Macaca mulatta: one gene and its partner. The protein of the gene in region 1 interacts with the protein of each later gene in a biochemical or structural test. Links are inferred from orthologs where the notes say so. Each region holds a gene or a part of one and is shown on either strand. Other genes may lie near its edges.

What was found.
Region 2: the proteins of DMD (region 1) and DTNA form a complex in vitro, tested with the Homo sapiens proteins (3 studies listed by BioGRID and IntAct, with this or other methods). The link is inferred for Macaca mulatta from reciprocal best matches to the Homo sapiens genes DMD and DTNA.

What each region holds. Positions count from the first base shown.
Region 1 is NC_133426.1:33,158,813-33,163,278, reverse strand, and holds the start of DMD (dystrophin), read left to right. Parts: upstream 1-1,379; 5' UTR 1,380-1,615; coding exon 1,616-1,646; intron 1,647-4,466. UniProt on the Homo sapiens protein: Anchors the extracellular matrix to the cytoskeleton via F-actin. Ligand for dystroglycan.
Region 2 is NC_133423.1:57,583,616-57,587,444, forward strand, and holds part of DTNA (dystrobrevin alpha), read right to left. Parts: intron 3,017-3,829; coding exon 2,848-3,016; intron 526-2,847; coding exon 393-525; intron 1-392. UniProt on the Homo sapiens protein: May be involved in the formation and stability of synapses as well as being involved in the clustering of nicotinic acetylcholine receptors.

The DNA of each region.
Region 1 (4,466 bases):
ATAGAGGGACACTGATGCTAACATGTAGACTTAGAGCCAAATCAGCCCCACAACAATTGTTTTCATTTTTTTATGTTGTTTTATGAAAATTTTGCTTATATGCATATTTAGACAACCACACAGAGGAAAGGAGGTGACCTAGGGAAAAGAATGTTTTCAATTAAAATTAAGCCTTATGTTTTATCTCATACACATTTTGCTGGGGAAAATAGCCATGTTATGACAATAATATTCTAAAACGCAAAATGTATAATTAACTATTAAGGTAAACATCACAGTCTGACTCTATAATTTTTTTTTATTTTTGTCTATTACTCATTTCAGTCGCAAGCAGTTGAATGTTTGACATAGAAAAATGAGTCTGTCACTTTAACAAATGGTACAATAAAAACACTCAAACAAAAATTTTAGTAGGGATTATTATAACTATAAAAAGAATATCTTTCTTTAAAAAATGCTACCAATGTTTTCTATCAATTTGGGGCTCGCCTGTTGCATAAAAGTAATAAGGAACAAGATGAAGAAGACTTCTATTGGCAAAGAATGATTTACATGCTGAATGACATAATACAACTGCATTCACTTAATACAGAAAAAAAAGAGCCTGCATTCAGAACCATTAAATGATCATTAACTCAATGTCTAAGAAAATGGTGTTTTAAGAATTGGCAGCAGAGAAATGGAAGAAAGAATAATTTGTTAGTAAAGAAGTTTTATCATAATTCACAACTGAAATTTAGGATTTGAGAAAAATGTCTTTGCTCCATTATAAGAATATTCTTTATTTTAGCAGGAAAACATGTCCCATGAGACCTACACACACATTCTGCCTTCAGAATTCAGCTGCTGTGTTCTGCTGCTGCTTCTCTTATTCAGACTGTTGGCATCATCAATACATGACTTTTGCAATCAAAAATCTCAAGGGGAAAAAATAACTTTGGTAGGCAGTGGATACATAACAAATGCATAGATTATTCTGGGCATTTCTTTTTATTTGGTAGAGTGAAATTTTTGGTGTTGTTGAGAGGATAAAAAAGGCATTTAAAAGTCAATTTTAAATCGGGATTTTCTGCTCTGTTATAAATTCACATGAAAGTTACAGAAAATATTGTTATGGTTTTGTACTGAATAGTTTTTGTGTTTGGAAGGCTTTAAAAGCTAGTACTATGTCCACTGTGCTATTCTGGTTTGGATATTAATCAGAACACAGTTGAGCTTATTTGAATTCACAGAGCTTGCCATGCTGGAAGCACAACCTTATATGTAGTGACCATGGACAGTCCTATTATGGGAAACCAACTTGAGAGAGAAGGCGGGTCACTTGCTTGTGCGCAGGTCCTGGAATTTGAAATATCCAGGGGCCTCTACAGAATCCTGGCATCAGTTACTGTGTTGACTCACTCAGTGTTGGGATCACTCACTTTCCCCCTACGGGACTCAGATCTTAGAGGCAATTACCTTCAGAGAAAAATGAATAGGAAAAACTGAAGTGTTATTTTTTTAAAGCTGCTGAAGTTTGTTGGTTTCTCATTGTTTTTAAGCCTACTGGAGCAATAAAGTTTGAAGAACCTTTACCAGGTTTTTTTAATCGCTGCCTTGATATACACTTTTCAAAATGCTTTGGTGGGAAGAAGTAGAGGACTGTTGTAAGTACAAAGTAACTAAAAATGTATTTTACTGTGGCATAATGTTTAGTTTGTGACAAACTCACTAATTAGGTAGATTGATTTTAAATTATCACAGTAGTTTGCAAAGAAGCATAAATGTTATATATACTGCATATATATATGTATTTATTCAGGAATATATATTTTTCATTGGGAAAACTTTTCAATAGAAATTGAGTTTATAAGTTTTTCTTTGCAGAAGAATTAAACACATGATTTCTTGATTAATAAGCCACTGCAGTAATAGAATATGCAGAATGTCATTTGATTATAACATATTATTTTGATTGCTGTGAGATAGTTTGTATATCTCAGTTATTATTTTGACTAGTTGATACTTCTGTATTTAGTAACAGTTACATAAAGGTTACTGACCTGACATATATTCTCAATTGAACTAACTACTGTATAGGAACTACATGGAGGCCTAAAAGTTAGGAGAAGTTTCTCTGACATATGGAGAAAATAAAGAATAAAATGAGTTGGGATGGAAAATTGAAGGATGTGAAAAGTATTGATAAAGATTTAATTGTAATGTTGCTTTCTCACATTTACTATTTCAAATGCTCTTTTCTATAGCATACCATGATGATTATTTCAAATAATGATGTGATCTATGCTATCAAATGATCAGATGATCTCTTGGGAAAACAACATACAAACTTGAGGAACTCCTAATTATGTTTAGTAGTAAATTATATTTAGTAGATGTTTCAAGTCTATCATGAGCTAGCTTTTCAGTTCAATTTTTTGTTTGTCTTCCATATAGAAATGCAACTATTTTGTTTATTTTTAAGAAAGTCATGATGACTATTGAAGGATTTAAAAATGGACTGTGGCACAACAGTAAAATAATATATGATAAGGACTGTGTGTCCCAAAAAGATGGGAGTTTATCTCTTCCCCACCTATCTTTGACTTGTGGAGTATAGTTATTCTAAAATAGATATGAGAGCGATGCCTATAATTAAGAATGAAAAAATAAGTCTCTCCAAATAAGTAATGCTCCACAACTACTAAAAAAAAAAAAAAAAAAAAAAAAGGCAGACGTTTTACCACTGTGAAAAATTTGTGGAAATAAGTTAACATTGTCCATGTATTGAGTCACATTAAAAGCTACCAGATTTTATAATACAACATTTAGTTACATTGTTTGCTTGCTTCATAAATTTCTTTTGGTGAGTATCATTATTGCTTTTAGATTGAAAAACTATTATATTTACTATCATTACAAAAATATGCATGGCATATATCTGTTGTTTGCAATATACACATATACACATATTTTTATTTATCATTTTTATTTCTTTGATATATGTAATATAAATACTATCAAAATCGCTAGTGATTTTATATATATATATATATTCTATATAATTAACCACATATACCAGTATATAGAGCAATTTTGAAAGAATATATGCAATTCTGCTGGAATGAAGCAAGGTAAACCTATCCTCTGCTTTGTCGTAGATAGTTGAAAAACTTTCAGTTCTTCGAATGTGAAGGAAGGTAATCTTTTTGGAACATGTCCTGTAGGATTTTTTCACACTGCATTTAAAAAATCATCAAGTAATGCCTATGCAACATGACAATGAGTTTGTTAAGGAAAATGGAGATATACTCAGGGCTATATTATACATTAAATTTTGTTGCTTGACAATATACTACTATTTGGATGTCTGACATTTGAATCTGGTTTGTAAATTCGCCTTAGTTTGAAAAACTTACAAAAGTACATTTTGTTTTTTAAACAGAATAGTTACTCTGTAAAAGAGATCACTGTATTGTCAAACACATTGTATTGTTTACTTTTAGAATTACTCAAATAATGCATTGTAAAGAATTATTCAAATAGTGTATGGCAAATAGATATTTCATTTGAATATATTTAAATGATGTAAGTCATCTTGAGGTCTAACAAAATCATCTTTTAGAATTTCATTTGCAGAATCTTTTAAAGACATCTTAACTATGAAAAAGAGATCGCTGATCTAAATTGATAATATACTGTTAATACAAAGTTTTGGTATATCTTACATGGCATAACATTATGAAAAATACAACAGAGTATGTCATATAGATGTTATTCTAAACTTTAAAAAAGACTACAAAGTGTTTTATGCATAATTACATTATTTAAGGGGAAATAGGTGTTGGTTGACACTTCTAGCTAGACAGTACTGAATTGCAAATTCATCATTTGGGCAGAGATATTAATACAGCTTCCTCTTTATTCCTATAGCATTCATTTGAAATCCCTGTACTCCACGTCATTTGCTATATATGAAACAAATTGTCAAGTTTTTAACCACTTGTGTAGTTTAATAAAAGAGATTAAAATCATTGCCTTGGAAACATCAGGTGTTTTTCAAAATTCTATTTTATTATCTTTCATCAAAATTTTATCTCAAGAGTAAAACAAACTGATTTCCCAAACTTTCCTTCTCCTCCCACTTTCTATTGTAATATTTTCCTAACTTATTAAAAATGATTTATCATACTCTTTCATCAATTTATTCTTTATTTCATCACACATATGAGAAATACAATATTTTGGTATGCGTATATATGTTTATATATACGCACATTGATATGCATTCAAATCACAGGGTATTAAGTTTCCTAAGAGGGTCTAATTAGAAATTAACCTTGAAAGATAATTTTCTGTTCATTTTTCTAAATTTTCTATTTTAAACACACATCAGTTTTTAAGGAATTCACAAATGAGACTAATGTACGTTAACTGTCTCACAACACAGAACAAACCTGGAAGAAAGGATTTATGGGGCCTGAGGT
Region 2 (3,829 bases), on another chromosome or scaffold:
CCTGGCCAATATGGTGAAACATCGTCTCTACTAAAAATACAGAAATTAGCTGGGCGTAGTGATGTGCACCTGTAGTCCCAGCAACTGGGGAGGCTGAGGCAGGAGAATTGCTTAAACCAGGGAGGCAGAGGTTGCAGTGAGCAAAGATCACACCACTGCACTCCAGCCTGGGTGACAGAGTGAAACTCTGTCTCAAAAAAAAAAAAAAAAAAAAAGAAGCATTTAATATTTGTACTGTCTAGAAGACATGGATTAAGGAGTAAAATCAGCATATTTTGGAAAGAGAGGGTGGAAGGAAGGAGAAGGCCCTGATTCTGCAAGTCATGTCAAAGACCCAGCTACCAAGGGGCTGAGGCAGAAGAGGTGGGGTGGGTGGGCGTGGATCCCGGTACCTGATAGGCTTCATCCTGCAGCTTCTGTTTCAGGTATTCCTCCATCTTGAGCTCATTCTCCAGCTGCCGGACAGAGTCATTTTCGTAGTTTTCATCCTCAGGCCGCACATAGGGATCTGCATCCTCCGTAACCCTGAGAAGAAACCACAGATGACATTTTAGAGTGAATCTTAAAAGAGAATTACAAGTGGGATTCGTGTGTGAGCTGTAGTTTATTGGCACCTTTATTTCTCCTTAGTTCTCCAAGTCACTTTCATGTCTTCTTTAGTAATACCTAAAGAAAAACTTGGAAACATTTTGGAGGTTGGAAGCAATATATGATCAAGGTATTTTCATACACAATTTTTTTATGGCAGTTGTGGTCATAGGTCATCTCTTTTTTTCCTAGGGTTTACTGAAATGGGTTGGCCCTTTAAATGTTCTATAATTTAAAAAATGGCAAACATCTTTTGAGGGGATACAAAGTTTTCCCAATCAGAGGGCTCTTTTTATTCTTCTTCAAAATAGAACCCAAGATCACTTTCTGTATGGAGAGTGAGCCCTCTAGTGAAGTAATGCTTAAGGACATTTGGTTTTAATTTAGTCTCTTTTGTGTTACCCACACATGCACATACACATATGAATGCACACCACATTCATGCCTTATTTTTACAGAATTAAGTCTAAGAACATCAGCTAGTCGATGCCAGGAGGGCTACTAACCCATAACTCTTGATCTTAGCTCTAAATATGAAAAAAAAAAAAGCATTTTAATTATCCAATTCCACTCTGAAATAAATAGTTAAAAATGACTTCATTCCCTGATGTGGGACTCTGTCTCCATCTATTCATCCTAGACTATGCAAAGCTCTTCATGGGGCTGGACGTAAGCTTGCTACCTAAATCAGAGGACTAAAGGATTCTCAGGGTAAGACACAAGGACATGTTTAGACAATAGAGATATTAAATTATTCCCTAAAATGAAATAAGTGGTCAAGAAGAAGTTTCTAGGCTGGAACTTGAACGTCGTTGTTCATGTTTATTTATAGCTGTACAACTTGTTCTGGTTATTTTTGGAGGTTTGGGGCCAGCCTAAATGGGTCTGCCTAGGCCTCTGTTAACTTTCCTTCCCTAACTCCTGACTCACATGTTGGTAGCTGGTACTGCCACTCAGCGTACCAGGGCTAGAAGATTAGGGTGGCCCCAACAGCCTTGGCCTTTAGAATTGGGACAAGGAAATTCTAGCTAACTGCCATATAAATGCTTAATAATAAAAAGTCAAATAGATACGCATTTACCAGACAAAACAGATGACAACTAATTCACTATTTTGAATAACAAATCCAACAATTCTAGAATACAGAAGAAAGGACAAGAAAGCAAACTCTATTAAGCAGCAGCGTACTGCCATGTTAAGTCCCATTATAATGGTTTTGTTTTGATCCTATTCTCTGCTGCTTCACAGCTGACTCTCAGACCACAGCTCTTGATAATTCTCCATGATTACTGATTGTTTATTCACTGCTGGGATTGGGAGCCAGACACCAGAAAGGCCTCAGGTTAGTTTCTTCTCTGAGTCTTTAACATGGCCAGTTTATTTTTATACACTAGTCTGAAGTACTTTTCGTATTAAGCAACACCACCCTTCTGTAGTATTTTTAGCGTTCAGACGCTCCCTCCCCCAGCTTGTGCCCACGTTTCCCGTAACTCCACGAACCATGGTCTCCTAACGGGCCACTTTCTTCCCTTCTTTTGTTTTCCTCCTTTCCCTCCCAAGTTGGGCTCTGCAGCTCTGTCCCAGCTTTGCCTTTGTTTCTCAGCTTTGGTTTTCTCTGCTGACTACTTTGAGCTGATCCAGGGTCACAGAAAGTCTAGTGGTCACAGGACGTCACTGATGCTGCTGGTTTCTGACAAGCTCCAGAACTGGGTGGAAACTTTCGCAAATAAGTCTTTAGAGGGTCAGATGTATACATATTCAACAAGTCAACCAAACTGGATTTCTTTATAATGAGATTTTATACATGTACTTATTTCAATTCCAAATACTTATATGATGTTGTTTACACCAATTCTGAACAGAGACCTCTCCAATGTCATGGTATCCTCTAAGTGCAAATACAATAAGTTCAGAAGATAGGATGATTTATCTCCTGAAGTAGTCTGAGTCCTAAAAGGGTGGCAGCAGTTTTTTAATACTATTTTGTATAGAACTAGCACTGTGCCTTGGGCAAGGCAGGCTCTTGATAGGCACTGGTTGGTTTAGGTTATTGATAACTCTCTGGAAATTGTAAGAGGGGAGATATTACAATGCCGAATTTATATGTAGCACCATTCTGTATCTCTGGCAGAAAAGAAAACTATGTCACCCCTTTTGAAGGTTAAAAAAAAACCCTAAACAATTATGCTTTTACTTTCTTATTGCCTCCTACGGATTGTTTTGTTACTGAGAAAATGCCTCCAAGCGGAAGATACTCACATGTCGCCACGCATGGTACTTGTGGTAGCTCCACTGTGAATATACCCAGGTTTTCGAGCATGGATTTGCGCTAGAAAAGCCTTTTCAGAGGTTGGTGAGGGAACAAGATCCTCAAACTGAGTCCGTGCAAATTCAGAATCCACATTACTCTCTGTTTCACTCCCAACCTCTAGCAGATACAATTGAAGAAATAAAGAGTGACTTGTTAGATTTTTTATGACCTGCAAATAAGGGAGTAGGCTTAACAAATCAACCTGTGCTGTGTAAAATGTTAACCAGTTATCATATTTTAATCAAGTACATTTTTATTTTTTCAAAATACGAATTGATATTGATGTGAATTACTACAAAATCAGTTGGTATACAGCATTTTTTAAATCTCAGAAATGTTATGAGGAATTTTTGCCATCTTAGTAACTGACTTAACTTTTTAAAACTTCTGGTTTTTCCCTTCTGTAAGAGACTTAACTAAAATTGTTACTTTTGCTTAATATTACACTAATTTAAGAAATATGAGTTAAAACCTAAACCTAACCATAAAGTATTCACCTAAAATGCCTCAAATATGAACTTAAAATATGAAGTGAACCCTATCACTTAATACTTTAAAGAATTATGGGTATAAACTAACAGTGCTTAAGACTGCTACACCAAGGATAACTTCATACTCATCATTTGCTAGGGGCGTGGCTACCTGCCATTAATCATGATGTATTAACTACTATCATTTAATTCTGTTTGGTAATCTTAATTTAAATTAGTAGCAACAATTTTCAATTGAGAGGCTTTAAGAAAGTTAAGTCCAGGATTTTTTTAATACTGAAGTTTTATTTCTTATAGCTGTTGTAATCTCTACCATAAGACCATAGTCTTGCCAGACAAATCTCTTGCTAGGTCGGCCTTAAGGAATAGACGGAGATGCATTAGTAACTGGTAGGATATTTATTTGCATATTCATACTGCTAAAGTTTTGAACACTCTT